3 linked regions of the Kluyveromyces lactis genome follow. The main gene of each other region encodes a partner of the protein of the gene in region 2 in a complex. Links are inferred from orthologs where the notes say so. Each region holds a gene or a part of one and is shown on either strand. Other genes may lie near its edges.

Region 1 (11,627 bases), on a different chromosome or scaffold from region 2:
AAATTATACGCCGAGGAACATTTGAAATCCATTTTAGGATTGAATAAGAAGGAGAACAAGATCGTGCTTGACGCAGGTCGTGAGTTGATGGAAATGCTACAAAAATCTGCAAAAACAGCTCAACATCAAGCCAGAAACGAGACATATGTTGCGGAAAACCCTGTGGTTGATGTGAATCAAGCTCGTAGCTTGTTTCCACTTATGTCCGTCCAATCTGTTTCTCACTTTTCTTCCAGTAATAACACCAATAATAACATTGTCAATGGTACCGGTATGACGATAAATACCACTGGAAATAATAAATTGGACCACGAAAAATCGTATTCTACGGAACAAAATACTGATTTACAAGCCTCTAGCAAAGAACTACTGGCATTTTTACACAAAAGTTCTACTGTCAATGACAAGGAAAGACAAATTTCAGGCAGTGATAGCGTTTCGTCATTCCCATCTGCTCATTTCACGGAGTTCACTGATGATGAAAACTACGAGGAATTCGAAAGTTCATCTGACGAAAGTCAATACGAAAGCTCTCAAGAACAACTTGGTCATTCTGACACGGAATGGGACCCCAACAGAGATGATGAGTTATTAACAGTGAAAGAACCCAAAAGTGTGAAAGAAACACAACCTTCAAAACCTGTCAAACCTGAAACAAAGCAAGGTGCCACAAACAATCAAAAACCTATACTTTTGAAACGTCCGGAATCTCAAAATAAGGCTAATAATATTGAATCTCAAACCGTGAAGCCAAAAATCAGATTATTGAGGCGTGGTGACACATTGGCATCAGCCACACAGTCTCCCTCCAATGAATCTATTAAAGCAGTCTCTGAGAAACGAAACGATACAGAAACCACTTCAAACAAAAATGCAGCCAACGACTTATTGTCAATCTTGAAGAAGCCATCAGAGGACCAACCAAAGATAAACGATTCAGAGACACATTCAAACAGAAGTGTAGCCAATGATTTATTGTCCATATTGAAGAAACCATCGAGATCAGAAGTACCAGGCGCCGCTTCGTCTCCTTTATTCACTAATACCTTTGAGAATAGTCAAAGTAGTAGTTCGAACGCTTCAGTGGAACATCATACTTCTTCCAATAACGACCGTAATGGTTCTAATTTTTCAAAGCAGTTTACTGCCTCACCTGCACTAAACGAACCATCTCCTAAAAATGATGCAAGCGACTTAATGCAACTACTGAAAAGACCACAACAGAACAGTGAACCTCAAAGTCCAATATCAGACCTTTCTCCAGCAAGCAAACCCTCAAATGAATTGCTTAATATATTGAAGAATCCCAAGACCGGCCTAAACTCGCAAATATCGGACGATCCTGTGACACACAACACCCAATACAATAGGATGCCTCCTCTGCAAGTACAGCCTCAACAGCCTTTCCAAATGCAGCAAATGCAGCAAATGATGCCACCTCCAGGTTATCCTCCCCAAAATATGTCATATATTCCCCAAGGCTTCTCTCCTCAGCAGCAATTCCAATATCAGCAACCGATTAATGGATATCCTATGCAACCTCAGCCACTTAACATGGGACAACCTGCACCAAACCAAGGTTTTACTAAACAGCAAGAACTTTTGAATATATTACACAAGCCAAATGCTCCTGTTCAAGAAACTCCTTCCAACCCTTCATCTGAATTATTGAGTATCTTGAAAAGATGAGACATTACAGCATTTCGCAATTTCACTTACATATATTTATATATGAGACTTTTCATCTAAGGAATATTTTGATAGTTCAGCTGTATAATTGAAAGAGCTAAATCTATTATTGTTCAGAATCATCTGATGGGATTTCATACTCTTGAAGAACCGCTGTTAGTTCTGCTTTATCATCTCTTCGTATCCACTCTAACTTTCTATCTTTCATGCCAGTTAGAGTGGTAATACAACCGTAACACACGCCTACATTCTTGGCAGGAGTATCACTCATTTTGTTTAGTTTTTCGGCTTTGTCTGGATTAGCTGCCTCCCAGGCATTGTAGTTGGTCAGTTCTTCCTCATTATGAATCACAAATGGCTTGCTAACTGTGATACCGTCAAGCCAATTTACTGGATTCTTATAAATAATGGCATTGCAAATACTACAGTGCATGATTTGATTTAGTTCATTATCAGGGTTAGATAATTTTGCACCTGTTCTAACAACTGTAGATATCACGTTTGAGTAATCACCTTCAATGTTATCAAAATACTGTCTCGCGAGTTCATTCATCGTCATATTTTTGATAAGTTTGACATTTTTGGTAGGCTTGTCCACAAATTTGTCATAAAACAAAGTGTCCTGGACAACATAATTATGAGAGAATTGCGAAAGCCCTTTTATATGACAGTAAGCATCAATTTCTGACAGTAAAACGTCCCGGCCTGGATGAAAGTTTCTGAAGGCGGTATTATATTTACTATCGAGGGAAGAATCATCAAGATAACCTGCGATTTCTGCACCACGTCCTTTAACAGTCAGACTAATGACTTCATCAGCTAACTTTGTCATCGAGTGACCCCATAAGATGGCTTTGAAATTTCTTTGTAAGGCAAATTTCTTAATCAAATGGGTATAAATAATGTTCAAAAGATCTTCTTTCGCTGTTTTGTTAGGCGCGCTGGCAAGCACTTTCTCTACAGTAGTACTTGGATTATTTGATGATCTTACCAGAGTGTTGAAGTTATCAATGTACAGTGTAATTTCTTGCAGATCAAACGGCACGGCAAAGAATTGATTTCTGTCAACAATATGGAACAGAATCTTATCGGAGTTTTCTTTATATTTTGATTTCAGAAGTTCAATCTTACCGCGCACTTCTTCAAACTCTGCCTGTCCACAAATCGTGATTACTTCTACGTGAAATCCAGTTTTTCCCCGGTGTGTTTGTTTCTGCTCCAACAAAGTATCGTTCAAGATATCTAAAACTGCCAAAGAAGAGGATCCCAAAGAAAGCGGCACGAGAACATTGGAATCTTGATTTTGCTTATCAGCTTCTGCCTGACCACGTTTCTTATCTGGATATGAGATTTTGAATATATCTTGGAAGTAGTCATCAGACATCATCTGCTTCCTCTGTTTCAAAGAAATAAATTTCACGAAACATTCATCACAAAATGGTTCTTTTCTCGAGACTAGAGTTGCATCCAGCAGCTTACACCTTTTACAAATGACCATGATAGTTGGACGCAGCGATAAGGTTTGCAAGCACGTATTAACAGGCTTTTATTTGATTCAGTGACTAGTTACTATTAAGAGATGAGATGAGATGAGATTGATTTTCTTTTTTTTTTTTTTTTATTTTCATTTCACTGTGGTTGTTAACATGAAATTTCAATCTAGAAATTTTGGAGTTCTGAAAACCATAGTAAAATATTGAAATGTTAAAATGAATCCAGATGAACTAGTAGCAGATGAGTTACTGGTAAAGGGGAAAATAAAAAAAAGGCTCAAGCTAGCAACTTACTGCCTTACTAACAACAAATGACCGATAAACAAGAAACAACACAACCAGCTGAAAAGCTGCAACAGCCTGAAAAGGTGGCAGAGAACGTCGACCCCAGTCTCGAACTCAATAAGACTAAGGTCAATTTTACACCGGAAAAGACTGATGTCAACACCTACAAGTTCTATCCTGATGATCCAGAATCTACGTTGAACAGATACAGATTTGCAGTGAAAGGTGCTTCTGAATACTACGACCCATGCCAGGAATCATCTAAAATGTCTTTCAAGTGCCTTGAATTAAACAACTACGACAGAGACCTATGCCATGACTATTTCGACGCTTACAGAGAGTGTAAAAAGCAGTGGTTGAAGGCCAGAAGAGAGAAAAGAGAATTTTGGGAATAATTCAACCACATCTGCATGTAAATAGCGTACTTAATGAGAAGTAACTTTCTAATCAATAGCATGAATTATTTATTGATAATGAGCATGATCCTCCATTCCCATATTGAACGACATAAGCTAACAAACGGAACCTGAATAAACAAAAAAAGAAAATAATAACACAAGTTGAAAGTACAGATCACGTGACATAAAGGAATTGATATTACCCGTCTTTCCGAATATTCTCCATTGCTCCTAACTATTGGAATCCGACTCGCGCTCCCTCCAAAACATGGTTTCGGACCCCACATGTAAAGATTTCGACCCAAAAAATATTCCAGATCCCAAACCGAAAAAAAAAAAAATGCAGCTTCCCATTCCGATCAAACACAAATACGGATTATTACGAGCAGCATCAGAGATTCCCATAGGTAAGAAGTTTCCGTAATCGAAAAAAAAAGTAGAAAAGTGCAAAATTAATTATGATATATAAAAAGTTTTGTAAACATTGAGCTATTGTATGGAACAGGACGAACGAAAGCCTCAGGAAATAACACTCAGTAGTAAGCATCAATAGGATCTAGCAGATTTTCATTGATTGAGATATAGGATTTAGTGAAAGAAATTTAGAATCATATCAAGACGCTTTATTTTGGTTTGTTGAATACTGAAAGGAAAAAAGGAAAATGTCGGATAATTCTGTGAGTTCATTTGTGACTCGTAACAAGACCGCCATCTTGGCAACTGCTGCTGCCGGTGGTGCTGCTATTGGTGCTTATTATTATTATAACCAATTGCAGAGGGCAGAATTGGGTTCTGGTTCCAGTGGTAGTAAGAAGACTTCCAAGAGTGAAAAGAAGAAGAGGGCCGGGAAGAAGAAGAAGGATTCGTCTTCTTCATCAAACGGTTCTGATGTCGTTTATCCAGTAGACGCTAACGGTCAACCAGATTTGTCTAAGAAGGATGAGTTTACTCCAGAACAAGTTGACAAATATGCTTTGGCGTTGAAGGACAAGGGTAATGAATTCTTTAAGGCCAAGGATTTCGAAAAGGCTATTGAATATTATACCTTAGCTATTTCATTGAAAGAGGATCCAGTGTTTTACTCCAACAGATCTGCTGCATACGTCTCAATTAACAATTTCGAAAAAGTTGTTGAAGATACCACTGCCGCTTTGAAATTGAAGCCTGATTACTCCAAATGTTGGTTGAGAAGAGCTAGTGCTTATGAAAACTTGGGCCAATTCTCCGATGCTATGTTTGACTTGTCGGCTGTCTCTTTGTTGGGTGAATACAGCGGTCAATCCGTGGAGCAACTGCTGGAAAGAAACATGAACAAACAAGCCACAAAGGTCTTGGGTGAAAAATTGAAGGAGAACCAGGGTAAAGAATCTCCATTACCATCTAACACCTCTTTGGCATCATTCTTCGGTATCTTCAACCCTGAAACTTCTTTCGATGATTACGATGGCGAAAATGAAGCAGATGTTGAGTTGAAAAAAGGTTTGGAAAACTTGTACAAATGTCAAACCGGATGTTACGAATTGGCTGATGAAGAATTCACCAAGGCTGCCGAGTTATACAAGAAAGAATTAGAATCTTCTCCAGATAATGAATCTTTGAAGAAGAAGGCTGCCATCGCCTTCGAACATGTGGGTATTTTCAAGTTCTTCAAAAATGATCCAATTACCGCGCATATTAACCTGGAAGAATCGTTGTCTTTGAACCCAAGACCTTCTACTTACATCTACATGGCTTTGATTATGGCTGACAAGGGTGAAGCCAACCAATACAAGGAATACTTTGACAAAGCTTTAGAATTAGATCCAAACTGCTCTGCTGTTTACTATCATCGCGGTCAAATGCATTTTGTTGTTGAAAACTTCAAAGAAGCTGGTGCCGATTTCGATAAGGCTAAGGAATTAAATCCAGAAAACATTTTTGCCTACATCCAATGTGCTTGCTTGGCTTTCCGTGACGATAGATTTGATGATTGTGAAACTTTGTTCAGCGAAGCCAGAAGAAAGTTCCCAACTGCTCCAGAAGTTCCAAACTTTTATGCCGAAATTTTGGCTGCTAAGAACTCTCTAGATGCTGCCATCAAGCAATACGATATTGCCATCAAGTTGGAAGATGCTTTACCAGGTATTCACGTCGGTATTGCTCCAATGATTGGTAAGGCCACTGCTTTGATTAGAAACCCAACCGTTGAAAACTTCGTTGAAGCTTCCGAATTATTTGAAGAAGCTTGTAAGATCGATCCAAGATCCGAACAAGCCAAGATCGGTCTTGCTCAACTAAAATTGCAACAAGAAGAAATTGATGATGCCATTCAATTGTTCGAAGATGCTGCCGATCTCTCAAGATCTTTCGATGAAAAACTACAAGCTACTACTTTCGCTGAGGCTACCAAGGTCCAGAAAAAGATCAGAGCTGATCCATTCATTAAGGGTAAGATCGACGAAGCTATTGCAGCCTACCGTGCTCAAGGTCTCGCGTAAATTAGCATGATATTCACGAATGAATTTAATTCATTTCAATATGAGTAAAGCTACAATAGCTCATTGTTTTTGTCTCACCTTAATGACCATAATGGCAACATACCATGCAACATCTAAACGAATGAATTACCAAGAAAGTTATGATTTTACAAACAAAAAGTTGTAGCATTTCACCCAAGTTATTTATGACTCGTAAGCAGCGTGAACTGTGTTAATCGTAAACGACAAGATCTCAACATTACAACGTGAAGAATAAGAAATAGTTATCAATTCTTCACAAAAACAAGACAAAAAGAAACACAGAAGAACAAGAATACGAGAACAACGCTTTTCAATAACAGCTCATTGCAAAATATGTGCTCCTAAATACCCCTGGTTCAAAAACATCATCTTCTACCATTTTGCTAGAAACAAATACGTCTTTCTGTATATACATGTATCTCCCCCATCTCACAATTTAATCAAATTGTAATTTTAAACACTTCGATAGTATATCACTACATACGTTTCAACATAAATGACATTTTTTGTTTTCTCTGAAAGAAGTGTATGTAATAAAAGTTTCTTGTGAGATTATGGCAAGGTACTGAGTGAAAGTGAGCTACAATTCAAGTACTTCATTGTTAACGGACTATAGCAGGATTTACCCCACCAGCGAACTACTTCAAATATGCTATCTTCTATCTTTGGTTCGATGATGAACTTTTCCGCTAGAACTGGACTTCTGGGATCTAAAACTAATGTTTCATCGCTCATCCTCACCAGAAACTTGATGAAAACACACAAAGGTGCCGCAAAAAGATGGAGAAAAACAGCCAATAGCTTCAAGAGGGGCAAGGCTGGAAGAAATCATGGTAATGCTGGATGGAGTAGGAACTCCCTTAAATCATTATCTGGCAGGTCATTAGCAGACTCCACACATATGCATCGTTTAAAGAGATTGCTTCCATACCATTAAGAGATGAAAGGCAATTAAAATAAGATATCGTTTCGATTTCAATCCTGTACATATAACAATGGCATCCCCATAATGAATGACACACCATTTCTTACCATGATTTTCAGTAAAGCATGTCATGAAAAATCAGCGGGTTACTATAATGGATAATTATCATTAATAAATACCTATATACAATTTGCAAACAACGGTAAAAAATGATTAATCATATATATAGTCAAATTAAGTCTCCGAGATATCATTCTCGATCCAACTACCTGTTTTTGGATTCTTTCTTAATTCTACCGTTGGGAAGTAGTGATAGTTTGTCTTTAAGGAAATGGCAAACGGAACATCGTCAAATGTCATTAAGCGTAACTTGCAGTATGTATTATCTGGGATTTCTTTAACAACCTTCAAGAATGTATCCAAATCAGGTGTTGATTGGTCATTGACGTGTGTGATAAAGTTGGTCACTTCTATTCCGTACTGTAACGCCAAAGAAGATGTACCACGAGAAACCGCATATACTTCACTAGGAATAGACGTTTTTACTTGACGCACGGCATGATGAGGAGCTTGTAGTACGCAACCTGCGAATACGACAATTCTAGTGGTTTCTTCAATTTGTACAGTTTTTATTTTCAAATCGATAACCTTCGCATCTCTTACAACCTTGAATAACAACTCAGATTCGATATCCGTATCGTCATCAGTCCCCACGACACCACCAATATCCCTCATTCTTTTTACCAGTTTCCCATTAACTGATAAGATAATATCACCAGGCTCGAGCCTTTCCTTTATTGTTGTATAGGAGTTTCTGGTGACACTGATGAATTGTAATCTGTTTTCTGATTCTTCTTCCATCATCTTAATCCATTCTTCAGGAACACCTCTGATTCTAGCCTGCAATAATGAGATGGAATCAAATCCTGCGTCCACAATAGAAACCTTAGGATTCTTACCAGCCCTGAGAATATCTACAACTTCTTTGATATCCACTACGTCTAAACCCATTAAATACAGTTTTTCCTTGTTACCCATGCAGGATAACCAGATTGCTCTCACTGTACCATCATCTGCCGCTAATATTCCTGATTTACATTTGGTGCTTATATTCGAATCAATGGAGATGACTTCTAGATTGGTTGCTCTATACCTAGGAATGATGTCGTTAGGAACACTCAGAGAAGAGATGCCATTGACTTTAGTCTTGGAACTGATTAAAGTGTTTGAGTACATGTAACCAATGAAATTAGTTTCGTCTCCTCTTTCAAGCCTTTCATTAGCTAGCACTGGTGTGCATACTGGGGCGTCAACTAAAGATGGATCATATTGAACAATAGCGTAATTTTGGGTAGGATGTAAGAATACAACTTTAGCAGGTACAAGAATGGATTCAGCGAACGAGACAAACGTGTTCAAACAGTCATGAGGAACAAAACTACGTGAAACAATAACATATCCCTTCTCAGCATCGAGTACTAAACCACATCCGTTTGTGGGTTCGGGTTCCATGGAGTCCATGGTGATAGCAATAACCGAATGTACAACACATAGACTATGTGACATTTTTGCAAGTTTTTTATTATCATTAATCGGTAGATCTAAAATCTTAGCTTTCTGTGGTTTTATTGGAAGTGGTGGTAATTTCTCAGTGATCTTTTCATAATCCCAAATACCTGTTTTGTCATTTCTAGTATAGATTCGGAACTCACTGCACCAATGACGGTCAATATAAACACTGGTTATTCTTTGTGTTTGAACATCTGTCAAGTTATGGAATTTCACGATTACTCTTTTTTCGTCAGGAATTGTTTTCATGACTTCTATAAAGTCGTCTAGAGTTGGTGTTTCTTTATTATCTACAAAATCAATAACCCATCCAGTTTTCTCCTTTGGATCCAAATCGAACGATCCAGTGGCACTTGCCACGAAAACGCCTTTTACAGGTAACGCATAGCATCTAGCCATTTGGTACGAAAGCTCATGGAAATTAGCACCACACACCTCGACATAACGTGAAGGAGTAATAATATGCAGGTCACCAACAGTGCATCTGAAGGAAATATCTTTGGAACCCCTTTGAACCACAATGATTATCTCATCTCCTACACTGCTATCTAGAATGTTATCAACTTGAATAAATGAACATATTGGTGTGCCATTAATAGAAATTAATGTGTCACCCTCTTGAACTTTATTATAAGCTGGTCCCTCTCTGAGAATAGCCTCAGCCACCAGCAAACCAGTTTTACCCGGGAACCTCTTACGAGCTTCCTTCTCACGATCTTCACTTAATCCAAGTCTTCTACATTCATCGAATGGTTTCAATACCCACTGAGTTTGGATAGTACCTCTGGTGATTGGTTTATCCGTTTGTACGCATTGTAGAGCTCTGACGACTCGATCAAGAGGCAAAAAGAAATCTGTAGAAGCCTCCGAAGAGCCACCGGCCTGTAAAGCGACCGCATACCCCTCTACAGTAATAACTGGAGAACCAGAAGAACCACCTGATGCAGCAGCAGCAGCTTGAATATATTCAGTATTAAAATCATTATACGTTAGCTCACCATAGTCTGGTGCATTTCTGTCAAGTCTACTGATGAACCCTGACAAGATACTCAATTTTTCACCAGCATCGTTACCAACAACACGGATTTCAGAACCAACCTTGGCCAAAGATGGTTTCAACTCTAGTGCAGTGACCTCGATATATTTCAACTTCGATGGATCAAACTTCAAGAACCCAAAATCATGAACTGGGTCGCGATAGATAGGGATGACATCACACTCTTCGTGATTGTCGAAAATGGCGTATCCGATGAATGGACCTGGACCCACAACGTGTCTGTTTGTTAAGATGATACCGAGTTTTGCATCAACAATGAAACCTGTTGCTTCCGACACCAAGGCAGCTTCTGAATCGAAAGGTGCGACTTGCGAGAAATGAATTGAGACCACCGACTTAACAACTTTGGAGATAGTTTCTTGCCATTTAGCGTTGTTATTGAATAAAGAGTTGCCTGAATCTATAGGTACATCGTTCACTTCATCATAGTCTTCTTCATAATCAATATCTTCGTCTACACTACTTGTGTTCTGATCGACGTCATTGTCGACCCTCTGTTTCTTGGATTCAAGATCAATGTCTTCAACAGATGATTCGAGTAGGTTTCGCTTCAACTCAACAGTCATTTCACCAGTTACTCGGTACGTACTTCGCAGTTGATTATTCGAAGAGTAATCCGATCTCCAGAGTTCTGACAGACGGTAATGTCTCTCTTCAATTCATCTCATCTGCGCTCTCTATGTTTAGTTATCTTCTTTTTTTTCATCTTGCCGTTCCCTTCGGTAAACGTCAACGTGAAAAATTCATTAGAAAGGTAATGAAAACGTATTGAATGATAAATGCGAAGATGGGGACGGTGAGAAGAAAGGTATCGGAGGAAACCATTCATGTGCCATCTCTTAGACTGAGGTCGACCATAATTCTTCGTTTCCAGTTTGAGTATTGCTCTTCTGATACGACTTCATATTCGTCTTGTAACATGCTGCCTATTCTGACGGCGATAGCGTTATCGAAATCCGATCCATCGTAATAATCGAACTTGACACGGAGTTCTCGGTACCATTTCTCACCGTCTATTAGTTCTTTTGTGATCTTGATAGCTTCCATGATATCTTCATCATTTGTTGTTCTCATTTGTGCCGCCATCTTCTTCATTAGCTTGTTATCGATTGTACTGTCCTGATTTCTCTGTTGGTTGAAGACAACGAACGAGCAAAGAAGTACCAGACCACAAACCAACTGTGTAGGATACGCTAGGTAAGTAGCGTTGTTATTGAATTCGGAAATTATGGTAGCTGTTACTTCTTCAGGAAGTTCAAATTCATTGCACAGAGTCACCAGTTCAGCGGTAGACGGTCTATAGTATTTTTTGTATAGCATGTTCCATTCGTTATACTTACCTCTTTTCTTTCTTGGTGAAGGCGTGTATTTAGAAGGGGAGTCACGAAAGGGTGACTGTCTTAATGGAGATTCAGGATCATCCTCAACTGATCCAAACACTTGTGGTATATTGATCATATCAGTCTTATTCTTCGGGGTTGCTAATATGGGCAACGGAAGGCCATTTTCTGTATCAGCTTCAAACACTAATTTCCTCCGGACACTTGACCTACTCCCTTTGCTAGGTGAAAGATCAACATTCTTCAAGGGCTGGATACCACTTTTAGTTCTTGATTTCGACGGAGTCTGGAATAGCTGTTCTTGTAACGACTTCGGATCTATCCCTGTGAATCTTGCATTTTTAACCGCTGACTTTCTAACCGATGGTGATGC
Region 2 (11,869 bases):
AAAATCATCAATTATTTTGTAAACATAAACTGTAAATATTCAGAAATCCGTTCAAGAAGTTTACACAAGCTCAGAAGATTAGTTATCAGATTTCTATAATTATTAAGGTACACATGGTACGGCTATTTGATCATGATATATGCAAAAATACTCTATTTATAATAATTTACCGAAGTTCAACGGTCGAAGAGTCCATCATCAACATAATCCTCATCGTCATAATATTCATCAGTGTAATCAGACTCGGATCCAGATGAATCTGAATCCAGTAAAGAGGATGCGTAATCTTCGTCATCTATGTAAATACTTGTCAAAGTTTCACCCTTGAGAGTGGATTTTTCATTGACAATATAAGAGCCCTCAACATAACAATTTGTAAGCTTTGATTTCTTGCCGATTTTTGCATTTCTACCGATGATGACATTTTCTAGCTGGGTTTCATCATCAATTTCAACATTATCAAGCACAACACACCCAACGATACGGCATCGCTTTCCTACTTTACAATTGTCACCGAGGACCGAACGTTTAATATTGGTTTTCTCCAAAATTGCACAATTGTTACCAACCATAGAATCTGCACCGATAGCAGAAGAACCATCAGTAGTGCGTTGTTGAATCGCCGTTTGTTTAATCTTCAAAACGTACCTATTGGATTCCATGTATGCACTCAAACTGTTTGATCTGATAAATAATCCGATTTCAGGTAACACGAAGATACCTATAGTTTCTCTGGGTTTCACATGCTGCCACGAACGCCTAGACAAATCCCTGAATAGCTTGCCTAGCGATTTATTACAGTTTATTGGATCTTTGATTAATTTCTTCTTTCCCTTCAAGAAAGACGTGTTCTGGAATGATGTGGCCAAAGAATCAACGGCTTCCGAATCAGAGTCTAATTCTCCAGCACCTTTCTCGGTTTCATCCTTCAATAGGTTTACTAACTCATGAGAGCAAAAGTAAATGAAGGAGTTCAGTAATTTTGTGGATACAGAGGAGTTCGGATATCTCCAAAGCATTTGGGATCTGATTTGTAAATATTTCGTTTTGTCCACATCGTCTTTGGAATAAACGTCTAGAAGAACGGGCTTACTAACAGACTCCAAATTCTCGGAGTATACAGTCAGGAATTGCTTTAAATGCTTCTTATCGATATTCTCAAACCCATTGTGATAATATACTGCCATAGCTAGATTCTCCGGATCTTTATTCAAATACTGATCTAAAAACACCTGTGGTGGAATGTCTGTGATGAAATCACAAGGTAACAACACGAAATCTCCAGTTATCTTATCTAGCAATTCATTCTTCAGACATTCTCCTGTATTCTCACATTTTGAGGGTATAATATTAATAGGAGATGGTTTTTTCAAATAGTGAGCATGGTTCGATCCAACGCTTTGGGATAACAGTCCAAAATAATGCCCTCTCACTTCACGGTATTTTTTCAAACTTTCCTCTAATTCGTCAGCATCGGATGCGTCAATAACTAGATTGACCTCTTTAAATTGGGCTTGCTCACACCAATCTAGTACGAACTCAATCATGGAGCGGTTTGCAACCGGCAATAGAGCTTTGGGAACACCAGTGTCTCCACGAACATTGGAAAACGGTGTTAGCTTCGCACCACGTCCACAGAATATAAAAGCTTGAAAATCCATTGTTCTGTACTATTCTGGGAATATTAAACTGTCTTATCTGGAGATCAACGCATCAATAAAACGTAGAACCCACTATATATCTTCAAACTGTACCGTGGCAGGTCATCATCCTACGTGATGCTTAGGTTAGTCAATACTCCATCTTATATTGAAAAGCTTTATTCCTGAAAATTTCAAAATCGTGCGTAATGATCTCCCTTTCTATTTAGTAGATTCCGAATGCTTTTGCCACCATTCAATCTAGTAACCCATAGTCCAAATGAAGAGAATAGGTAAGAAAGGCCAAATCCAACCAATTGAGTTGAGTCAATCCATTATAACAGTACTAGTCCAACCAGGAAGGAATACTGACAGAATAAAGGTACGGGATTTTTCTCCTTTCATATTGAGAAGCAGGAATAGGAAGATTAAGCTAGTCTGATCAGAATAAATACTAAAGATGTCTCAAGAACAGGATCCTTTACTAGCAGCAATGGAAGAAAACGATGGTGATGACACTAACGGAGCTGGTACCAACTCTAATTCGGGAGAAAATAACGCTGCCGCACCTGAAACGGTGGAGCCTGTGGATCCAGAACAGGCTGCAAAGGAAAAAGCGATGTTACATTTTAAGAAAAGACTTATGGAACACAGACGATACGACGATATGTTGAAGCAACGCAGAGAAACCATACGGGTACTAGAAGCAGAATATGAGAGAACAGAACAGGATATCAAGGCGTTACAGTCGATTGGCCAACTCATTGGGGAAGTTATGAAGGAACTTTCCGAGGAAAAATACATTGTAAAAGCGTCATCAGGTCCTCGTTATATTGTGGGTGTGAGGAACTCCGTTGATCGTTCCAAGCTAAAGAAGGGTGTCAGAGTCACACTTGATATTACTACATTAACTATTATGAGAATTTTACCTAGAGAAACTGACCCATTAGTTTATAATATGACCACTTTTGAACAAGGTGAAATCTCTTTTGATGGTATCGGTGGTCTTACGGAACAGATCAGAGAATTGAGAGAAGTCATTGAGCTTCCACTAAAGAACCCAGAAATTTTCGAGAGAGTGGGAATCAAACCACCTAAGGGTGTGTTACTATATGGTCCTCCTGGTACTGGTAAGACTTTATTGGCTAAGGCAGTTGCTGCAACTATCGGTGCCAACTTTATCTTCTCCCCAGCATCCGGTATTGTAGATAAATACATCGGTGAATCAGCACGTATCATTAGAGAAATGTTTGCATACGCCAAAGAACATGAACCTTGTATCATCTTTATGGACGAAATAGATGCTATCGGTGGACGTAGATTTAGCGAAGGTACCTCAGCAGATCGTGAAATTCAACGTACATTGATGGAACTATTAACTCAGATGGATGGTTTCGACAACTTAGGACAAACGAAAGTTATTATGGCTACGAATAGACCTGACACTTTAGATCCTGCTTTACTAAGACCTGGTAGATTGGACAGAAAAATCGAAATCAGTTTACCAAATGAGGCAGGAAGATTAGAAATCTTCAAGATTCATACATCCAATGTAAAAAAAGCTGGAGAATTTGACTTTGAAGCTGCAGTCAAGATGAGTGATGGATTTAACGGTGCGGATATCCGTAACTGTATAACTGAAGCAGGGTTCTTCGCTATCAGGGACGACCGCGATTATATAAACCAGGAAGATCTAATGAAAGCCGTGAGAAAGGTTGCCGAAGTCAAGAAGCTCGAAGGCAAGCTTGAATATCAAAAGTTGTAATGAATATACACACTTGTTTAGGCATCTCAAGTAGATTCATAATTTTAAGATTAAAAACCAACCACTATAGTATAAGCGCTAAAATTGTTGCCGTAATTATGAATCATTAGTAAATCTATTAAACGATGAAATAGCCCTATCTGCAGTTATTAAACCTTTTTTTGACACGAAACGCATATTAAACTCATCTGCTAGATGCTCCTTAAGCTTTGCAAACCGATTCTTGAAGTTAGTGGAACAATAGGGGCATATCATCTCAAAGTTCTTGATATACCTTTCGGATAGCTCCTTGTCACCAGGCAAGTCCAACACAGGTAGTTCATCCCATGGTATAAAGAACGGGGAGTTGAAAGAGTTGAAATGCTTTTTGTGCTTTAATTTCTTACTATGGAAATCTCTTGTCATGACATGTATATGTGTATTAGCCATTGATGGAGTGCTATGTACTCCTGATTGGACAAAATTCGCCAAGAAAGCTTCTTTCTCTTTCAAGGATATATCTTTTATGTCATATTTTTTTATGAATTGAGTCCAACAGAATCGTTTAGCCCAATCAATATGCCATTGAAGCTGCACCTTGATGCCATTGTCGATTGTGGTGGGATGAGAATTGCTGATCTTATGACTTCTTGGCAAAACTAAAAAATGTTCTTCAGATTTAGGGAACTTATCATGTATAATGGTCGCTATGTCGTCAAAGTAGAGTACTTCAGGCAATCGTTCTGGACACAAAACGTACGGTCTGAGACCTATGCTGAACGAGTTCTCCCTGTTTTTCTCGTCACCATGGGCGTTTGGTACATAAGTGGGTTTGAAAATCTGCAGATACTGATTATAAGTCATTCCAGTTGTGATTTGTGGATGGATTTTGTTCATATGGAAACCAATTAAATCTCTGTTCTTGCCGATGAACTGCTTTCGGCAATGTTTACAGTACACAATATCTTTGTTGGCGTCTTCATTTAATTTGAATAAATGAGTCGTAAACCCCGATTTATCTGAGATAGTCCATTGATCGCCTGGACTTTCCTTCCATTCTATAACATATATTGGACCGCACTCATCCATTTGTTATGAACTAGTAACAGTTATCTAATCATTTAGTCATTACTATAATCATAAATTGTTGAGGTCTGTTACTACAAGTAATGACCTTTACGTATAGATTTCCATTCAAAATAAACATGTAGTAAAAAAAAAAGTCAGATAAAAGTGCGATGAAGTATGATATTATGATCTATGTACAAGTAGCGTGGATACGAATGGCAGTTAAGTGCTAGCCAAAACTATTATTTATTCTTATTGTAATTCGAAAGATTTCTTGAAGTGTTGGTAGACCTTGTCACCAATCAATTCTTGATCTTCATCAGTCAATTTACGTTTTGGCAATGCTGCCAATTCTTTTCTTTGTTCGATGTATCTTTTCTTTGCTTCCGTTAGAGGCATTTTTGGAGCCACCAATCTTGATATTTCCTTCGTTGTCAAGGTACCTCTTCTGTATTTCGACTTAGGGTTACGGATGGTTGACAATGCTGCTTCTGGAACAGGATTTTTTACTACGCTTTCAACCCAGAAAGTTTGTTGACGTGCAATTTCAGAACGCGTAGCCAATGCACCATCTGGCTTGAACTCCGGCTTAGGCCATGGAACAACCATATTGTTCTCACCAACAACAACCCTATATGGCATAATTTTCTTGTAATCTGAATCATAATACGAACCCTTGAATTCGATGTCACGAACAGCAACAGTCTTAGCCACACCTGGAGTCTCTGGATCATCGAGATCAGCGACTAGTTTGATGTCCGCTTGGCTCACGGGGACAGGGAAACTCACCATATGACTGTTCTGCCCCTGTTGCCAAAATTGCTTGGGCACAGGAACAGTGTTGGTGGGTCCATTCTCATCCAAAATATACCCGTTTGTATGCACGTCGTGCTGCGTAATGGCACAAACATTGCCCTTAAACTTTCCATTTACTATCACCACTCTATCACCTGGCATATATTTCCATTGCTTTACACTCTTATACTTCTCGGATTCTTCGACACGAGGCAACGATGGTTTCAAGAACTCTGGCATCGTCAAACCTTCATACTTGGCAAATTGTTTCGCAATATTAGAGTTCTTCGCTTGAACTTGCTCCAAAAAACGGGCACCAGCCTTCGATAAATGTTTATATGAAGACATACCCGCTGATCTATTTTATTCTAGTATCGAATACCACCGTCCTTTTCACAGAACATAAACCATTTGTGGTTCATTCCATAGTACCATATTGATACATATGTCTTTCTTGATTCCGTTCCTTCAAGTTTTTCATCGACAAATTTTTTTGGAAGGGAAAAATGAAAGCACGTGATCCGAATTAGACTATCAGATTCTTCGCATTTGATTTAGTATTATAGCTTGATGTTACATAGGATATACAAGGTGAGATATACATGCGGCACAGGGCTCCAGCTGTGGCAATGGAAATGGTCGTGAAGCACTAATTGTCAGTGCATATAGCAATGAACTCTTCTTCATTGATCTCTCCGTCATCGTCAAGATCAAACTCATCAATCATGGCACGTAGTTCTTCGTCTGTAAGGTTTTCACCTAGTTCGTGAGCTACACGTTTCAAATTCTTCAATGAGATCTTGCCCGTGTTATCATCGTCGAATAGCCTGAAGGCACGTTTAATTTCATCCAATGGGTCTCTTTGCAATATTTTTTCTCCTACTACCAGGTAAAAATCCTCGTATTGTATTAACCGGCGTCCGTCTGCATCATACCTATCGATAAGTTCTAATATGTCTCCTTTACTGAGTTCAAAACCCAATGCCCTTAGAGCGACTTTGAATTCATGATAGTCGAGATATCCATCATTGTTCATATCAAAGAGTGAGAACGCCTCGTATATTTCTTGTTTCTGTTCTTCTAATAATTCCTTTTGTAAAGTGGATTTATCCACGGATTTCGCTACTCGTCCACTGGGCCTTCTGTTATTCATGTTTCTATGATCCGAATTGGGTTAGATTTCTTGCCGTTGTGAGTCTTGGCTGTAAGTCAATCGAACCTCTTAATTTACCTCTTTTGCTGCACGCGTAAACTTCGTGAAACTTCTTTAAAATATGTTTAAAGATTTCATGTTTATGATTATTTTGACAATATTGAGTTTAAGGAACATAAACACATATCCTGAAAGAAATGAAGGCAATAACTGATGAATACCTTACAGTACTGCCAGATCAACTACTCTTTAGTTCTAAAATGAAACAATGGATCTGGAATTAGGAGATAGGGTAGTGCTACGCAGCCTGGCAGGAACTGTACGGTTTATAGGCGAGACGCAGTTTGCAGCGGGGATTTGGATCGGTGTTGAGTTAGATGAACCCTTAGGGAAGAACGATGGTAGCGTCAAGGGAGTCAGGTACTTTGAACTCAGTGAGGGTAGAAAAGGTCGGATGTATGGTATATTCAGTAGAAGAGAGGGTATCTATAAAAATTCTGCACCGAACTCGCAACAATTTCAGGATCCTGATACTACGAATTCTAACTCATCAGATCCCGAACGATTGAAAAAGATCATTGGAAGATTGGAAGTTAAACTCAAGTCAGTTAATGACAAATGTATTTCGTTTGAAAAGGAGCTGGGATTGAGATCAAAAGAGCTTGAAAAAGTGCAATTTCTCGAGGAACAATTGGAGAAATTAACTTTAGGACGAGATGAGGCAGAGCAACGCAATGATTCACTGATATTTGAATTAGAAAGCTTGACCATTGCTCATGAAAGTGCTTTGAAGGAGCTTAATGATTATAAAGAAGAAATTTTAATAAGAAGAAAAGCAGACGTTGATGTCAACACTGATCAGATAGAATCAGTAGAATCAGATGCCCTTATCAAGCAAAACAGATTATTAACGGTTGCACTACAAAAGCTGCAATCAGACCTAACAGAAATACAGAAACAATGCAACGGTTTGAAAAATAGTAATGAAGAACTGCAAACCCAGGCAGAGACATATTTGCGAACAATATCAGCCTTAGAGAGTAAACTATTTGAAACAACAAAAACATTAGATGAATTGAAACAGCACTTCAGTGCGAATAGTAATTCTAATAACATCATTGAATCTCTTACTACAGAAAACCATCAATTAAGTACGGAGCTTGATTGTCTTAAGTCAGAGTTACTCAAGTTGAAACAAACTCAATTGGCAGATGAAGAACTAGAAGCACTTTATAAAGAGGTCGAATCGGAGCTAAATTCTCAAATAGCGAAACTTCAGGAAACTCTCTCTACTGACGAGAGCATAATTAACGCATTGAAGGAAAACAACAAAACCTTAAAGAATGAATTACAATCACTGCAAAATAAATCGGGGCAATATTCTCAAGAAATGTCACCAGAAGTTGAAGAATTACAAGCAGAACTTACTTCGTTACAATTAAGGAATAATGAGCTTCAATTCCAGAACGAGGTATCTTCTGCAAAGCTTAGCCATCTGAAAGTGGATAACAAAGTGGAGCTACTTTCTCAAATTAAAATCATATACCTGAGAGACCAACTTCTTAGCCAAGACGCTGTGAGTATATGCACATCTCAACTAATTTTATTCATATATTATGCGATGATTAAATATGATGCTGGTGTGACATATTTGAAAGAAAAGATCAATTTGGACTTATTATTGGAATCAGTAAAAAATAGTCATCCAATCAAGGTTCAATTATCTCTATTAGAAAATGCAGACATCACTTTATCGGATCCTAGGGTTCTATTTACGGCTATTCAAATGTTTCTTGAAGCGTCGGTGGAAAGACTTTTGTCCGATACTGAACACTTGTCAAAGGAATCTGATCAGCAGCGAATAAGAAGCCTGTATAACACTTTCCATACGATTAACACCTTCGTCACCACGAAATTGGAAGAGCTTTATGAATTTAATGGAACCTTAAAGTCTGATGTGAATTTATTCTCGATTTATGTTCACTTTGCAACGTCAGTCCTATCCCTACAGGAAAAACCAAATGAGTTGTCAGTGTGTTTAGAGGAAATTAAACAAATTCCTGTCGACATGTTGGAAAACAAGGAAAGAAACACTTCAGTTGAAAAGAATGTGATACAATCCCAAGCTCAGGTTGAAGTTCTCCAACAGACGATATCTGAAAAAGATCAAATCATCCAGGACTTAATCCTCAAAATTGAAGTTCTTGAGTCGAAATATGCCAGGAATAAGGAAATGGAAGGTTCCTTATCCAGCTTGAAAAATGAGCTATTAGAAGTGAAATCAAGAAACTCTAGCCTTCAGGATGAATTGGTGAACATGGAGGCGGAGTACCAGCAGTATCGCAACAATAGAGAACAAGAAATAAAGAACGCCAATAATTTATTTCATACAAAGGCATTAAACAATATCCAATCGCTTAGAGAAAACAATGATAAATTATCATTGATCGCTGAAATCTCAGATTTACAGAGGATTATTCTTCGAAAAGAACAAGAATCTCGCCTCAAATTGTCCATACCATTGTTTGATACTCATCGAAAACAGTTTTCCAGTAGAAACATGTTCAATGATTTCAACAATATGGCAAATATCTTATCGACGTGCATTGAGTTAGCAGACCCTATCATCTCTAATGAGTTTACCTCCATTAGGAAGCACAGGCTCGCAAAATTGAAAGAAACTCATGAATTATGTGTGACATATACATACGAAATGCTCAAAGGTGAGTATTAATTATTAATCATTAATCATTATATATGAGGGTCTCTACAAATGCGGGAATTCCATTTAACAACCCTATCAATATCACCTGCTGGATATAGAATTTCTAAAATATAGAGTAAAATATATTCCACTATAGCGCAAAGAACATACAATAATCTGGCCCAATTTCCATCTTGTCTATAATACTTTTTTAGCATAACGACCCAATTCTTGTTTAAGGAGCGTACATCTAAAGATATCCTGTCATAAACCTGGACGGTTCTTTCAGCCACATTCATCCAGTCATACATTTGTGCGATAGTTTCATGAAATTGTGTTGTATTAACTTTGCTATGTCCTATGCGATGTATCGCTTTGTTCATCGCCTTTATCAAACTAGATACCGAGGTTTCCTGGGCATATACGGTCATATATTCAGGAAGGACCTCCGGTATACCACCGACAGATGTTGTTACTATTAGTAACCCGCACGACGCAGCTTCAACCAAAACTGTTCCAAATGCTTCAGTTAAACTTGCATGCAGGTATATATCCCCTTGGCACATGACATCTCTAACATGTTCGTGTCGCACAGATCCTAAAAGTTGAACGCGTTCCTGAAGCCTATTATTTTCTATCATTTGTTGGAATGCAATGAACTTTGGCCCATCTCCAGCAACAATGAAATCGACGTTATCGTTATTCGTACAAACCTTTGGAATTAAGTGTGTCAAAAGGTCAGCTCCCTTATTGGTATACAACCTGCAAATCACCACTACTGTTATTCTGTTAGATTTTTTCTTTATTGTTGAATCTCTAGGCTTGAAACTGCTGGAAACAACCGCATTCGGTATGACTGACACATTATCTGGATCAAGATTTGCTCGGAGTATTATATTCTCTTTACAAGTATGAGAGACAGCAATGACAGCATCGATGTTGCATAAAGTGAATTTTAGTAGCTTATTGACAAGAATTGAACCGAGACTATCAAATCCATATAAAGAATGGTCTGTAAACACAGTCTGTATCCCCATTGTATTCGCGTGTAGTATTCCTTCGTGCGCAAAACTGGAAACACTTCCATGCGAATGTAATACATCAATCTGTTCTCTAATCAAAATATTTCTGAATATAGGAAAGCTTCCAAATACTGTTGGAAAAGTGGTCTGTCTATAGAGTACCAAGTATGGAACATAGTAAACTTTCAAACCGTTTGATAGATATCGTATTCCTGTTCGATCTCCGTAGGCATGAGTTATAACACAAACATTGTGCCCCATTTTGATTAGCTTTTGAGATAAATGGTATATATGGAACTCAACACCCCCAAGCTGCGGGTAGAAGAAATCGCAAACCATAGCTATGTTGTATTTTTGTTCAGCCATTCTTTAGACATTGATGTGTTTGATATGAATTAAGTGTTTAATATATCGAAACAATTTATCGTTCAGATTAACCCGTTTTGGAGCTACAACTTTTGTTAGACTATACAAAGAATATTTGTATAATTGCACTGAAGTTTTAAATCTCTCAATATGCTTTACTTTAGCGTTACTTAATCTGTACTTTCACTCCTCACTCTTTACCACTTTCTGTTGACTGTTTTTCGATCTTTGGTTGTCTCGATGAGTATTTTGTACAGAAGGTTTAAAATAACCTCGAAATTTGGAAACGTAACCTTTTCCAATACACTTCCGAATATTATCTTGAGGGGTTATCGAGTAAGCAGTGAGATTTCAAGCATATTTAGTTGGTCCACGTTAAGCCAGCGAATAGAGCATTTCGTTAAAGCCTGAAAAATGCCTCGTGCACAAGGGCGGTACCAAGGCGTCAGTCAAGATGAGGATGTCAGTCTTCCAGATGTGTCTTCGGAAAATGTCGTTGACCTGGATGAATCTTTACTACCGCCAAATCCTCCTGAATACGACATCGAATCGCGTCCTGATATACTTCCAATGGAACTTGATATAGAACAGGAAGATACTATTAGTTCAGTGGGTCGTTTTCAAAGGTTAAAGACCAGAATTGAGGATAATTTGATATTTCCAATGAAGAACAATGTTGTCGATCCTCTCGTACAGGTATATCAAATGGCTTCTGCGAAGGTTGATCTATATTTGAGCAAACTGGGAAATCCTTTAATCCTCCGCAGATTTGTGTATATACTTTTCATGTCAGTGATTGTGTACACCGTGGTTATGAGCGGATTGATGCCCAATAGCAAGAGCACCGCCACTATCGGAATGTTCTCGGATAAAAACCAATTAATCTATTACGCGAGACGTTCCATCGACTATGCGAAGTTAGAGGAAGATATGGAATACTTAAGCAGCATGCCTCATTTAGCTGGTACTAAAGGTGATTATGCTATTACGAACTATATCAGAGAATCGTTCAAAAATAATGGATTAAAATTAATGAAGGAGGTTCCGTTCCAAGGATATATGAATTTCCCAAACGAGGTTGAGTTTAGCGTTACTACTTCGGACAATAAAGTGCATGAATTTGCTTTATCAAAGGAAAATTTTAACCCATTAAGCAGTAACGGGAACATTCAGAATGCCGATATAATATATGCAAATTATGGGACTGTCGCTGATATCCAATCATTGAAAGAAAACGGGTTACTTTCCGACAATACTGTTCTCGTTATGAAATATGGAAACTTACCTAGTGAGCAGATACTTGTCGCTGAAAAACATGGTATCAAAGGTATTATTTTTATATCAAAGCCCTTTGGAAATGATGGTGATGTCATACAG
Region 3 (8,898 bases), on a different chromosome or scaffold from region 2:
AAGTGAGAACGGCGGTTGATTCGGTCACGCAAACGCCAATAAGACTGTTAAACATACGCAGGATTTTGTCAGCAAGATTCTTTTCTGCCGTTTCTTTTTACCGAAAATATTCTTGTGTCAGGTCATTCAAAGATGACAGAAAAACGTGATCAATGAAGAGTGGGCAGAAAGGTGGGTTGACTGCAGCGACCAGATTAGGCAACAGAACCGCTGATCATGAGCATGTGACCTTAAAATATCATGGCTTACGAACTCCACCAAACCACTTGGCTCTTCGATTGTTAGTTTTATTTTATTTTTTTTTTTTTTTACAACAAGAGATTTGTGAAATCATCATCTCGAGATGAGATACGAGATGAGGTGAAATCAAATGGTTTGTGATTGTAATCATGGCGTCTTTTCTATAAGCCATAATTGAAACATAATGATGGCTGTTACAGTATCAGGAAATACCGGACAGTCAACCGCTGAAAGACTGCAATGTGAGTTTTTTCTCGTGAAAAAGAAGCGACAGTGCGGAATGACAAGACGAGCTGGTTCCCAGTTCTGTTCAGAACACTCTACTGATAGCGACAGAGTTCCTTGTCCATTGGACCCTTCTCATACTGTGTGCTTGAGTAAGATGCGTGTGCATATGAGGAAATGCAATAAATTTAGACATGATGTTTCATATCAAGCAAAACAGCGCGAAATTCCATGGTTTAAAGAAGGACTTAATTCCATCAGTAACGGGAAGTCAGACAGTAAGCCGGCAGATGAGACACTAGTTAAGTCAGTGAGTTTGATTCAGAAGATATTTCAAAATGAATTTGGTGACGAACCTCCGTTGCCATTAATCGAGAAACAAAACGAACTCTTGGAACGTACGGAACGGTACAAGACTTTGGTTAATAGGAAACATGCAAGACAACAATCATCGTTGATTCAACATCTTAAAGAGTCCAAACTATGGCCAAGTTTAGAATCATGTGCAGTGAACAAGACACTGGAATACATTGAACTTGGTTGTGGGAGAGCTGAATTTTCAAGGTACGTTAATATCGCTACAAATCTGGACCAAAAGGAGCATTCTCATGAAAAGCCAGAGTACAAAGCCGTCGCACCCTCCTTCACCCTCATTGACAGAGCCTCTCAAAGGTTACGTTTTGATAATAAGTTCAGTTCTGACATCGGAACCGAAGTTCAAATCAGACGTGAGAAGATCGATATTAAGGATCTTAGATTGGATGCAGTACTCCACGATGCATCTCAATACGTGGCTATCTCAAAACATCTATGCGGTGTGGCCACAGATTTATCGCTAAGATGCCTTTTGAACAGCGATAAATGCAAGGCAAACCTTAGAGGAATACTTATTGCAATGTGTTGTAGACACGTATGTCAATCTTCTGAGTATGTGAATCAAGAGTATATCAAAGGTTTACTGAAAAGACAGACCGATGGTTCGATGGCGTATTCGGAATTCTTCCAATGCTTAAAGAAATTCTGTTCCTATTGTACGTGCGGATTGAGACCAGATATGGACCCCAACAGTGGTTCGGAGGACCATATAACGAAATTGACGCACAACGAGAGGCAACGCATTGGACACATGGCAAGGAGGATCATAGATGAAGGAAGAGCCCAGTTTCTACAATCAAAAGGCTTCGAAACAGTTTTGTTCAAGTACACAGACAGCGCTGTCACTTTGGAGGACACTGCGCTATTGGCATTGAGGAAGCATGATTAAACCAGGAGGACCCTCCGCTTAACCTACCTGTACATATCTTACGTAAAAAAGTGTATCTTCTGGCAGCATAATGATGCAGGATGCAGAGAACAAAATGTGGTACTAATAAATGCAAATGCACTGAGAGTTTGAATTGTTTTCCCGTGCTACGAGCTTCTTAACAATACCCTAGATGGAAACAAAGGTCACATGTACAGTAACGGTTGCCCATTGCAATAAGGGTAACAACAAGATGATGACACCGCCGGGACAAAATTTGTCCCGGAATTTGAGACGGTTTTCCCTCTCCGACCATTATAATCGGAACAACCACTCCAACAGTGGGAGTTACCAAACAAAACTGCACGGATTTCTTCCGTTCCCCAAAAATTTCAGCTTCCTCCATTAAAAGTGGAAGCCCTATTTCACGTGAGAGGTGGCCTGACAGAGAACTGAACAAAAAAAAAAAAAAGAAAAAGAAAGCCAAACAAAATCCGCAGCTGGAACCTTAATTACTGGACGCCCGACTTCTTGAAAAACACACTGGCATTAAACAAGAAGCTACCAGAATGTGTTCACGTACAGGCAGTTGGTGTTCTGTGTTCTTACAAAAAAGTTTCGCCTTAGTCGCAGTGAGAACGTGCAATAAGCTGATCTACTCAACGCAACTGACAAAGACTAGCAATAACTGCCACATGATATTCTCAAAACCCACTTTGCGATGCAATTGAGCGATGTATAATCACACCAACCAACATACGTGTTTCTAGAAATTGGCAGTTTTGCCCGGCCTGATTGCCTAGATAGTGCAGTGGCAGTTGGAACACCTGTCGCAAGCTCTCTTCATATCATCATCTTTATCCCTCTTTTCTGAGTGATGTTCTGTCTGGATAATTATCTTCTTCCGTCTATCTTCTTCTAAATTGATCAGTATCATAATATGGAAAAAAAGGTTGTTCGTGAATTTTTCCTCCATTCAATTCATATATAATAAGAACAATGAATTGCATACTTCCCAAATCTTGATAATTCGTTTTAATATCTATCAGTAGTTGTTTATATTCAATTATATCTTGTGTATACAAAACCATCATCCAAAAACCAATCCAAGTTTCGTTTGACTTATAACCAATAGTACCAAAAATTAAACCTTAATTTTGAAGTACTTTATAATTTAAACTTAATACGAATTAAACCAAAAAACCCACAACACGTAAAAGAAATTACAATGCCAGCTCAAGACGTATTGACCAGAAAGACCGGTGTCATTGTCGGTGACGATGTCAAGGCTTTGTTCGACTACGCTAAGGAACACAAGTTTGCCATTCCAGCTATCAACGTGACCTCTTCTTCCACTGTTGTTGCTGCTTTGGAAGCTGCTAGAGACAACAAATCTCCAATCATTTTGCAAACTTCCAACGGTGGTGCTGCTTACTTTGCTGGTAAGGGTGTTTCCAACGAAGGCCAAAATGCTTCTATCAGAGGTTCTATCGCTGCTGCTCACTACATCAGATCCATTGCTCCAGCTTACGGTATCCCAGTTGTTCTACACACCGATCATTGTGCTAAGAAGTTGCTACCATGGTTCGATGGTATGCTAAAGGCTGACGAAGAATACTTCGCTAAGCACGGTGAACCATTGTTCTCCTCCCACATGTTGGATTTGTCCGAAGAAACTGATGAGGAAAACATTGGTCTATGTGTCAAATACTTCACCAGAATGGCCAAGATCCACCAATGGTTGGAAATGGAAATCGGTATCACCGGTGGTGAAGAAGATGGTGTCAACAACGAAGGTACTTCTAACGACAAACTTTACACCACTCCAGAAACTGTTTTCTCTGTCCACGAAGCTTTGTCCAAGATCTCTCCAAACTTCTCCATTGCCAGTGCCTTCGGTAACGTCCACGGTGTTTACAAGATCGCCGCTGCCCTAAAACCAGAATTGTTGGGTACTTTCCAAGACTACGCTGCTAAGCAATTAAACAAGAAGGCAGAAGACAAGCCATTGTACTTGGTCTTCCACGGTGGTTCCGGTTCCTCCACCAAGGACTTCCATACTGCCATCGATTTCGGTGTCGTAAAGGTCAACTTGGATACTGACTGTCAATTCGCTTACTTGTCCGGTATCAGAGACTACGTCTTGAACAAGAAGGACTACTTGATGACCCCAGTCGGTAACCCAACCGGTGAAGACTCTCCAAACAAGAAGTACTACGACCCAAGAGTCTGGGTTAGAGAAGGTGAAAAGACCATGAGCAAGAGAATCACTCAAGCTTTGGAAATCTTCCGTACTAAGGGTGCTTTGGAATAAAGTTCTTTTGTTTAGTACCATTATCCCAAACAATTTAACTTATAATTTTCTATATACAATTTAAATACCAGAACGCATGAAATGATCAAATGAAGACATCTGAACCATTAGTTACAAAATGATTGGCAGGGATCCGCTGTGCATCGGATACGTTCACCAGTGTTATCCTTGGACGCTACCGAGGACTTACCTGTTATCGAACTGCATTTGTCTTTTTCTCTCACGTGATCGACTTTGTCTCATAGTCCAGTTTGGCTTAAATATGAAAGCAGAGTTAAAAAACATAGGAACAGTTACAATCAAACAAAGTCACGTTCATAGTCCCTTAACACAATTACAACTCCAGAAACAAATACAAGAAACAGGGAGGACTCAAAGCGATGGATTTTTACTCCAATCTCCCGGTGAATTTACAACAACCGACTTTATTCGAAATACTCTCTGTCAATGAAGTGAAGAAGTTAATCAAACCAACTTTAAGGTATATTTTCTCCATTTATCTCCAATATAGAGGACCAACACGATGGCTGTTGAAGATTTTTAATAAATTTGACTTCATAATCTTGGTGATTAAATCTTTGGTTGAATACAGACATTATAAAACAACAGGTGCCACAATTCTTGACAAGTTCTATGGATTGAAAAGGTTTTCTAGATTCCCTAAATTAACCTTTCTAGGAATTTGGTTGAATGACTGTTTATTCGAATACGTTAGTGATATCTGTGAACAATACCATGAGCTCTTGCAGTCCAGAAAATTGACGAGCCCAGAATTGAGCTCATGGCAACAATGGTTTGATGCCTATTATCCTAAGCTACAGAAGACTATCAAAGTGATAAATTTCTGTTTCAAATTAAAGTACTTGCGTCATTCAAAAGACACTGATATGATCCATTTCATAACACAAATAAGATACCAACGATACCAAGAACCCGAAGAAGGAATTGCAAGTAGGAAAAATACTTTAACTCTTTCTGAACGTCGTCGTAAAAGAACTAATTTACCCAGAATATTAGCTATGACCAAGGATGCAGTGGAGAGCACATCGACCATGTTCTTGGACAAGTTATTCCCGAGCTTCCTAGTGATGATCAGAATTTTACAAATTATCAATCAGCGGCCTGAATTATTCAAGAAAGAGATACGAGTAAAGAGACCAAAACCTCCAGTACTACCTGGCGTAGCATCAGAGGTGGATAACAATGATACGACTGACGTATGTCCCCTATGCGGCGAAGAAATAACAGAACCTGCCATGATTTCATCTGGATATGTCGCTAATTTAGAGTGTGCCAAGAAATGGGTAAGCACAGAAAATACATGTTTCGCGACTGGTGTGCCCATAGATAAACGCATCCGTAAGTTATTAATATAGTTTTGCATTAATTTAGTAAATGAATAATGAGAATAATTGAGCCAGTAGCATTAGAATAATTCTGCATTGGTTTCCATTTGATTGAACATCGTTTGCATCATCATTATATCAGATTCCAGCCTAGAGATTTCTGAATCTAAGTCTGGAGCCGATGTTCTACTGTATCTTAGCTTTAATAACCAAATTTCTTTCAAGATTTCATCGCTTGGTCTATCATTATCTTCAAGATATTGAATCATCCTATCCAAATGATCTTTTAAATCACGTTTTAATAGTTTTAAATCGGAATGATCATCCTGAATTTCTACTCCACAGTTGATTAGCTTATAAGGATATCGTACACTCTCATGCCATTGTATCAAATTGCTAGTTTCAGGGAAGTAATGGAACTTGGATTTAATAATGTATTGTTTCGAATTCAACGACTGTAACATGTCATCGTAATCGTAAATGTCCGGGTCAACCATTAGGATTCCAATTGGATCAGAGGATTTCCAGCTGAAAAGGCTGAGCTTCGTATCAACGTTTCCAACTCCATCACACAGAAAACACTGTGATGCTATTTCATTTTCCAATACAAGGATAAATAGTAACGGACCTCCTTTACTTTCAATGATCGTCGAATTAACTTGCAGCAGAACTTCCTCCTTCAAATCCATATCTTGATCAAATAATGCAGAACAGGATCTAGCTATAAATAAGGCAAGGCCTCAAGACACAACTAAGTTTCGTACAACCTCCTTTTTTATTTCGTTCGAGTACAACAGTGTATGAATTACTATTATGTATTTGTATATTATATTTACAGGGAAAGAAATCTTTAAAAGTTGATCTCAACTGAAAAGGATTATGTGGAAAACATACATTGCTGATGCGGCCTGTCTATACTAACACTTCGCCTTGGTCAATAACGACATTCTGTTGGCCATGCACTGGTTCGTAACAGTACCATTTCAACAAAGCGTCTGTAGCGGCTCTGGCTTTAGCTTCTTTCAAAGATGAACCGTAACCCTCGCCTAATTTCTCTTCACCACTGAAAACGCCAACGATGAACAAGGGTGATTTAGACAATCTACCGTTTTCTGCAAGTAGTTTCGATACCGGTCTTTCCAATCCTTGGCGACGGCACAAAGCTGCCAGTTCTCTGGTTGGTTGTTCGAACGCGAACAAATCTTTAACGTCCAGCTTTCTGGACAAAATATGATCTGCGATAAACTTATGTGTCTGGTTGAAATCTTTGTCGACACTGTATACAGCGGCGAATATACTCCTTACGGCAACTGCCATAGCATTGTTCTCAGTGAAGTTATGCAATTCATCTACGGAATTTTGGAAATAACGTAGTTTACCCAATGTAATGGTAACATTTTCTTTCTTTGCATATCTATCCACTACACTTTGAGTTTCCGGTTCTATACCCCAGGAACGACCGACATTGCTCAAAACATGGTCGTTAATATATGCATCCACAGCAGCATTCAAAACCACACCCGGTAGCCTAGGATATTTTTTCATTAGCTCGGATGTAACTGCCAAAGTTAAAAGACTCTTACCAAAAATGTTCAAACTGACATTGTCATAGTTCACTTCCCCACTAGAACGACACGTCAAACATCTGGACAAAAGAGAATAGGATAAGCCTTGAGGCAATCTTAATCTGGAATGGAGTGCAACTAAATTGGGGCTTGTTAGTTCATGTGCAGGGTTCTTTAACAGTGTACTGATGGTATTCTTATATTCTTTCAATGATGACAGTTCTGATTGGTACAACCTGGCACAAGAAGCAAATCCTCGCACTCGCACAGGGTTCAATAGCTTCAAAACAGACATCCTTCTTTAACCCCCCTCGATGGTGATGTTGATTGCTGTATATATCAATGGCAAACCTCACCAATAGCTCACTGCATCACTCAACTTCTTTCCATCCTCTCTCTGTAACTCTTTCACTAAAATTTTTTTTCAATATTTCGATACTGAGATCTGCAATTACCCGGATATAGTAGACTGTTGATGTTTTCCGAGTAGTCACGTGATAATAATATGTTTTCACAGACATCTCATTATTCCAGATTCTTTCTGATACGGCGCACTTATGCTATGGATTGTCGATGAATCGGTAGCTAAACATATTTACAGACTATTCTAAACTACCATAAATTGCAGTTGGAATCGTAATGGTAGTCTACAAGGATCCCACTCTCATTTGGTTCAATTTTTCGCAAAAAGTGATGTTCAGCCCAATGTTGCGACGGTTTTATAGTGTTCCAGCGACATTTTTCCATCCTACAGTGTATGCATTATCAACGCCATCAAATCAGCACTCTGCAATAGCTATAATTAGGATATCGGGTACACATTCAAAGTATATCTTAAAAAAATTGTCGCCAAAAAAACCGCTACGGCAGAGGAAACCGATGATTCGGTCATTATATGATCCCAAGGCATCAACTCTGATAGATGAAGCGTTAGTCTTGTACTTCCCACAACCACGGACCTTTACAGGTGAAGATTTAGTGGAATTGCATCTACATGGGGGGAAAGCTATTATAAAGGCAGCGTTAAACTCAATCCAGGGTTTGCGGGACTCTGAAAGAGATATTCGTATGGCGATGCCGGGAGAATTCAGTCGACGAGCTTTCCAGAATGGGAAAATGGATTTGTTGAAGCTTGAAAGTATCAACAATATGATTCATTCAGATACAGAATTACAGCGATTGTCTGCATTGCATGGCAATCAGACCGTAGACATTTTCCATGAATGGCGACAAGAGATTATAGAGCAGATCGCTAAACTAACTGCAATTATTGATTTTGGTGAAGATATCGAAACGGAAGATATCGATTCTATAGTGAATGGTGCCAATGATAAACTTTTACAACTATACAAAAAAGTGACTCGATTCATGGTGAAATTAGATAGAATGGCTGTCTTGAACGATGGGATAAAGTTAACATTGTTGGGTGAACCAAATTCCGGGAAGTCATCATTAGTTAACGAAATATCTCAAGACGACGTTGCGATTGTCAGTGATATACCGGGCACCACAAGAGACTCTATCGATGTAATGATGGACATTAACGGTTTTAAATGTATCTTGACTGACACGGCAGGGATCAGACAGGGAACTTCAGATTCTATTGAGATCAAAGGTATTGACAGATCCAAAAAGAAAAGTTTACAAAGTGACTTAGTGGTATTGGTCATTGATGTATCTAACCCAAATATAAGTAAACATTTTGAAGAATTTATCAAGGATAACTTATCTGATAAACCTTTAATTGTCGTGTTGAATAAATCGGATTTAGCTACTGAAACCCAGTTAAAATACTTAATTGAAAAGTTCGATGCAGAATTTAAAGCCCTGAAAATTCATACAGTCTCTTGCTTAACCAAAATTGGATTGGAACCATTAGTTAAGACCTTGACATTAAGTTTCAGAAGAATCTCGGCAACTGAGAATGAAGATCCAGTCACCGTGTCCAATAGAGTCAAAGAAATT

What was found.
Region 1: MRPL40 (region 2) and MRP35 share a complex: the UniProt entries of both Saccharomyces cerevisiae proteins name them as parts of the mitochondrial large ribosomal subunit. The link is inferred for Kluyveromyces lactis from reciprocal best matches to the Saccharomyces cerevisiae genes MRPL40 and MRP35.
Region 3: MRPL40 (region 2) and MRPL3 share a complex: the UniProt entries of both Saccharomyces cerevisiae proteins name them as parts of the mitochondrial large ribosomal subunit. The link is inferred for Kluyveromyces lactis from reciprocal best matches to the Saccharomyces cerevisiae genes MRPL40 and MRPL3.

What each region holds. Positions count from the first base shown.
Region 1 is NC_006042.1:2,235,927-2,247,553, forward strand, and holds MRP35 (mitochondrial 54S ribosomal protein bL35m), read left to right. Parts: upstream 1-7,012; coding exon 7,013-7,300; downstream 7,301-11,627. Other genes in the region: DCP2 (decapping enzyme complex catalytic subunit), read left to right, coding at 1-1,689; NCS2 (Ncs2p), read right to left, coding at 1,796-3,187; COX23 (Cox23p), read left to right, coding at 3,494-3,862; protein channel TOM70, read left to right, coding at 4,528-6,342; NMA111 (Nma111p), read right to left, coding at 7,523-10,480; ORC6 (origin recognition complex subunit 6), read right to left, coding at 10,740-11,627. UniProt on the Saccharomyces cerevisiae protein: Component of the mitochondrial ribosome (mitoribosome), a dedicated translation machinery responsible for the synthesis of mitochondrial genome-encoded proteins, including at least some of the essential transmembrane subunits of the mitochondrial respiratory chain.
Region 2 is NC_006039.1:830,961-842,829, forward strand, and holds MRPL40 (mitochondrial 54S ribosomal protein uL24m), read right to left. Parts: upstream 5,596-11,869; coding exon 4,705-5,595; downstream 1-4,704. Other genes in the region: GCD1 (translation initiation factor eIF2B subunit gamma), read right to left, coding at 177-1,661; proteasome regulatory particle base subunit RPT4, read left to right, coding at 2,101-3,405; HNT3 (DNA 5'-adenosine monophosphate hydrolase), read right to left, coding at 3,502-4,473; CDC31 (centrin), read right to left, coding at 5,897-6,400; NIP100 (Nip100p), read left to right, coding at 6,669-9,134; phosphatidylinositol N-acetylglucosaminyltransferase SPT14, read right to left, coding at 9,152-10,492; KLLA0_C09735g (uncharacterized protein), read left to right, coding at 10,907-11,869. UniProt on the Saccharomyces cerevisiae protein: Component of the mitochondrial ribosome (mitoribosome), a dedicated translation machinery responsible for the synthesis of mitochondrial genome-encoded proteins, including at least some of the essential transmembrane subunits of the mitochondrial respiratory chain.
Region 3 is NC_006041.1:681,162-690,059, forward strand, and holds MRPL3 (mitochondrial 54S ribosomal protein mL44), read right to left. Parts: upstream 7,229-8,898; coding exon 6,281-7,228; downstream 1-6,280. Other genes in the region: TRM13 (tRNA:m4X modification enzyme), read left to right, coding at 425-1,729; fructose-bisphosphate aldolase FBA1, read left to right, coding at 2,937-4,022; PEX12 (ubiquitin-protein ligase peroxin 12), read left to right, coding at 4,403-5,398; KLLA0_E07613g (uncharacterized protein), read right to left, coding at 5,449-6,057; MSS1 (Mss1p), read left to right, coding at 7,573-8,898. UniProt on the Saccharomyces cerevisiae protein: Component of the mitochondrial ribosome (mitoribosome), a dedicated translation machinery responsible for the synthesis of mitochondrial genome-encoded proteins, including at least some of the essential transmembrane subunits of the mitochondrial respiratory chain.